Kluyveromyces lactis: one gene and its partner. The protein of the gene in region 2 purifies or fractionates together with the protein of the main gene of each other region. This does not show direct contact. Links are inferred from orthologs where the notes say so. Each region holds a gene or a part of one and is shown on either strand. Other genes may lie near its edges. The genes, in order: ARC15 and ARC35.

Region 1 (2,063 bases), on a different chromosome or scaffold from region 2:
TCCAAAATTGTCGATCTATCCGCTGATCATAGATTTGTCCCGGAGACGGAATGGAGCTACGGATTACCAGAGTTAAACAACAGAGAAGCAATTGCCAATGCTAAAAAGATTGCTAACCCCGGTTGTTACGCCACCGGTGCCCAAGTAGCGATTGCTCCTCTATCGGAATACATCACAGGATTACCCACAGTCTTTGGTGTTTCTGGTTATTCTGGTGCTGGTACTACACCATCTCCAAAGAATGATCCAAAATTCTTGAACAACAATCTAATTCCTTACTCCTTAACAAACCATATCCATGAGCGTGAAATTTCAACTCGTTTGGGTTTGGAAGTCGCATTTGTTCCTCATGTTGCCCAATGGTTCCAAGGTATTTCTCATACTATTTCTATTCCTATTAAGAAGAACTCACTATCTTCAGAACAAATTAAGGCCTTGTACACCGAATTCTACGCTAACGAAAAGTTGGTACATGTTGCCGATGATATTCCGTTAGTTAAGGACGTTTCTGGTACTCACGGAGTAGTTGTTGGTGGTTTCAAGGTAAATGATGCAAAAGACCGTGTCGTAGTCTGTGCTACTATTGACAACTTATTGAAGGGTGCTGCCACTCAATGCTTACAGAACATCAACCTGGCCTTGAGTTACGGTGAATACGACGGTATTCCAGACAATAAGATTATTCAATAAACGGAACCACCAAAGAATAACCCGTATATCTATATCAATTTGAACTTAGTTAATATATATGTATAAGAAGATAATGTTATCATCTGCTTATCGTTCTTCCTGTCAGTGATAAACAGTCAATCGGTCCAGTGCTGTAAACCATAGTTACCCTGTTTCCAGATTTATTACCCGGATATCTCCTATAAGTTACTATTGAATGGGATTCATATTGAATGGAAACCTTTAAATGGATTAGGTTAAAATACTCGAAATAACTGCAGGCCGGTCTACTTCTTTTATCAGGAAGCATTAGCGCTGAATTATCCTTATCGTATTCATCCAAGCAGCTGCCTTCTGAACTAGTAATATGGAAGACTGGAGAAGAATTGATATCGATGCTTACGATCCTGAAAGTGGGAGATTAACGGCGGATGATTTGAAACCACCATATTCACATACCGTGAGTTTACAAGAGTTACAGCCAACCATTCAACAGTTACGTTCTTACACATCATCTGGTGATTTTGCAGCTGCTGTTGAGCTATTCACAACTGATCCTCCATACAACGCCGACGAACAAGCGAAATCACAATATTTCTCTGGTATATTGGAGGTGCTAACCCAAGTGAGACAAGTGGATATTGCTAATATAGTTAAGCGCTTGGATCGCAAGCAACAAGACGCATTGATAAAATACCTATACAAGGGTATGTCTATACCTGAGGGTCAAAAGCATGGGGGTATCCTTCTCGCATGGTTCGAAAAGTTAACGCAAGTTGCGGGTGTCAATCCAATCGTTCACTATCTCTCGGATAGAAGAACTGTATAAAGAACTATATAACAGTACGATTTTACTTAATTTAGTATGATATATTTACTCTAACGTATATGATCCAGTTTCACCTACCAATGGGCGATCATTACGGATCTTTGTTTGTTTGGCCTTTGTTCACATGGAGTGCAGGCCCTTTATTAAGTATTACTGGGACCTCTCAGAGTTAGTATTTCCAAAAAAAAAAAAAAGAGAAAGTACTAGTTTTAAACATTCAGTTCTTATTGAAAGCACAGACATATGCCAAGAAAGGGTTATAATATTGTCAAGAAGGCTCCAGTATATTGTTCCTGCTTTTCACAATGCCAGAAACTTTAAACGATAGCAATAAACGTGCGCTTCCTGAGGTGAATTCGGAATTAGAAAGCACAGAAACTCCTGTGAAGAAGGTCAAACTCAATGATAAAGATGAAGCAAAACCTTCAGAAGAGACTGATAAGTTCATAACAGAGAATGATACAGCAAATGAAGAGGCCAATTCCGTAGAGAGACCTAAAAATATTGAAACTGCTGAGACAACGGAAACAGCGGTAACAAAAGAAGAAGATACAAATAATAAAAA
Region 2 (2,982 bases):
AGACCCAGTAACGTGGGCGTAGAATTAATGAAGGAAAAAAAAAAAGCACAAATGGCATTACCATGTAAGGAATGGCTAAACAGGTAAGGCCGTAGGGTTTTGGTTCCAGAATGCAAGTTTGCGAACATTGGCAGTATAGGCTTGCCCAGCTGTCATTCCGTTCTGAATTGTGAAGTGGGGTTTGGACAGATAAAGGAAGGGGCAAGGCAGGGCAGTGCTAATTCCAGCCCAAACTTGACCGGCGTTAGTACTCTGGTTAGGCCATGTACCATTTACCTTGTGCCTTACTTCGCAGCTGCAACAAGGGTGAGGAAAATTGAAAATTAAGCTTCTTGAGCTTCTCAAGCACTCTAAAACTGGGACGGAATGGTCCGACTCGGAGTTGCGTTGTTTTTTTTTTTCTTTCCACTCAGGTAGGTTTTACCCGGTCTTTTTTTTTTTTTTTCCATTCCTCTTTGGTTGTGTTAGAACTGACTCAAGGCTCGAGCGTTTATTGCCCAGCAATTGCATGGCATTACGGAGGGAAAAAAATCTGAATAGGATCATCTACTTGTCACGTGATATAAATCGCTACATCGGCAGCATTCTATTTTATACTTTAAACACATTATTGAAACCAATTTCTACTTAGTAGACCATTTTTCTACCGGTGATTGTTCTACGTGAATCGGATTCAGTTTCTTCGTCTAGCTTTGCTCTATTCAAGACCTTGATGAATGTATCAACACGATATCTCATTCTTGAATGCATGTATGCCTTAGCACACTTGATATGGTAATGGAAATAGTTCCTGAATAGGGCAAGCTGTGACACAGATGTGAACATTAGTTCATCGGAGGAGTAGTGACGTGGGAACAATACAAATGTGATGAATCTCCTGGTAGACTTCTTAGCACCTGCAACGTGAGCGTGTTGTTGGGCTACTTCTTGAATTTCCAAAGGTGGTTCATGGGAGAATAGCACTTGAGGCGCAGATTGGATGGATCTATTTCTCTTTCTTGCGTCTACGAATTCTTGTAGGAAAACTTTACCGAAAACTTTGTCAGTTTCATCTTGGAATATAGTTTCGAATATAACAGTGATACGATCAAAGGACGGCTTGATGTATATGTTTTCATCATCTCTGTATTTGATAACCATAGCCCTGGCCTCCTTTGATTTTTCCACTTGGTCTATTTCATTCAATTGAGAAAGAGCATTACTCTGGCCAAACGCTAAATAGAATGGATATGACATTACAAGGATCTTAAACAAAGATGCTTGCACAATAGATTGCGCAGTGATTTGAGATAGATCAACAGTAATGGTAAAATCGTAACCGGCCTCCTTTTTAGCAGATGATAGAGCCAAACCTGGTACTTCATCGAATTTTGCCTGCAAGAACCCTTGTAAATCGTTCCCACTCTCATTACAAGATTGCGTAGCCTTGGTTCTGATGGAAACTAATAGGTTCGACTTATCAGTGCCATCGTTGGTGATGTGTAACGTTGTATAATCAAAGTCGGAGATGATTCTGTCCAAAGTTAAAGGAGACCCATTGTTGTAAGCTTCCAAAGCTTCTGTTAATGTCTTTTGGACCAATAGGTTGTATGGTTTAAGGTGTAACATTATTATGTATTGATATTAGAAGGCTCACAAGTGTTCACCCAGGCTTTTTTTTCGAACAAGTCTATGAGCTTTTCTTCAATTGACTTGGAACAATATCAACTTGTAAGTTTCCTCAACACTGAGCAGGTTTAGTCTCTTCGAAATTTCCCAATTCCTTGCAGATGATGAATCTTTCTTTCTGTTTGTTCCAATAGGGGCACCTTTTCGTTGAAATCGTTGTTAACTAAATTTTCAGCACTTTTCTATGATGGAAAAACCATCCGAACAAAATTTCGGTCACGTGGCCATAAAGATTGAGCAACCAGTAGATAGATTATTCGCATATTTACATGAAGGTCTAGTTTATAAACATAAGTATATATTTTATGTTGATAATTCAGAATATAATACTGTTGGTATCTTACTCCTTTGTTGGTTTCTTCACACCGTACTTCGATCTGGAGCTGATTCTGTTGACAACACCGGCCAAATCACCGGCACCACGGACAACATGATATTTCACACCAGGTAAATCTTGGCAACGGCCTCCACGAACATATACAATACTGTGCTCTTGTGCGTTATGGCCTTCGCCTGGGATATATGCAGAAACAATGTTACCATTGGTTAATCTCACTCTACAAGCTTTTCTCTGAGCAGAATTAGGTTTCTTTGGCTTCAATACCATCACTCTTAGCACAACTCCTTTACGAATCGGGCATACCTCCAAATCTGGGGATTCAGTGATCTTCTTACGGCCAGGAGGCTTGACCCCTCTCTTTATTTGGTTCAACGTGGCTTGTATTGGTGAAGTATATGAGAAAGAACGTTGTTGCAGTGGTGGTGCAAATGCTATGCTTGAACGAACATTACGCAACGATAGTCTAGTCAGACTACTGCTCAATCCGAAAACCTGTTTGAACATTGGTATCTTTGACAGGATTGTTTCTTAAGATCCAGTGCACGTAAGTCAAACTCAGAGTTGAACTTACGCCAACATTTATTCACTGACCGATTGATATAACTCTTTCAATTCAACATTTGCTTCATAATTTTTTGTCAGTTTCTGATGATGAAAAATCATAGTTGAAAATATTCGGAAGTCATGTGATCGAATATGTGTTGTTGCTGATGTCCGGGAAATTGTTCAGAAAATGTGCATGGTTTGAGAGATCTTTTAACCTAAAAGATTTTGTTCATTTCGTTGGGAACACCAGCTGCACTATGCGGGTTCCGAATTACGAGAAAAGTCCTTACTGAGGTAGTTGTTGTATTTCCTATTTTGAAATATCAAACAACTATACTGGATTATGGACGATCAAGCTGTAAGGTGGGTGCAGGTAAATAGGGTGTTTGAACCAACTACTTGAATTATGCGTGATAGAATATTGCGGG

The links.
Region 1: the proteins of ARC35 (region 2) and ARC15 purify together in Saccharomyces cerevisiae (affinity purification with mass spectrometry; 5 studies listed by BioGRID, with this or other methods). This does not show direct contact. The link is inferred for Kluyveromyces lactis from reciprocal best matches to the Saccharomyces cerevisiae genes ARC35 and ARC15.

What each region holds. Positions count from the first base shown.
Region 1 is NC_006039.1:699,648-701,710, reverse strand, and holds ARC15 (Arc15p), read left to right. Parts: upstream 1-1,036; coding exon 1,037-1,498; downstream 1,499-2,063. Other genes in the region: ARG56 (bifunctional acetylglutamate kinase/N-acetyl-gamma-glutamyl-phosphate reductase), read left to right, coding at 1-690; YRB2 (Yrb2p), read left to right, coding at 1,804-2,063. UniProt on the Saccharomyces cerevisiae protein: Functions as a component of the Arp2/3 complex which is involved in regulation of actin polymerization and together with an activating nucleation-promoting factor (NPF) mediates the formation of branched actin networks.
Region 2 is NC_006042.1:670,740-673,721, reverse strand, and holds ARC35 (Arc35p), read right to left. Parts: upstream 1,609-2,982; coding exon 628-1,608; downstream 1-627. Other genes in the region: MRPS12 (mitochondrial 37S ribosomal protein uS12m), read right to left, coding at 2,009-2,512.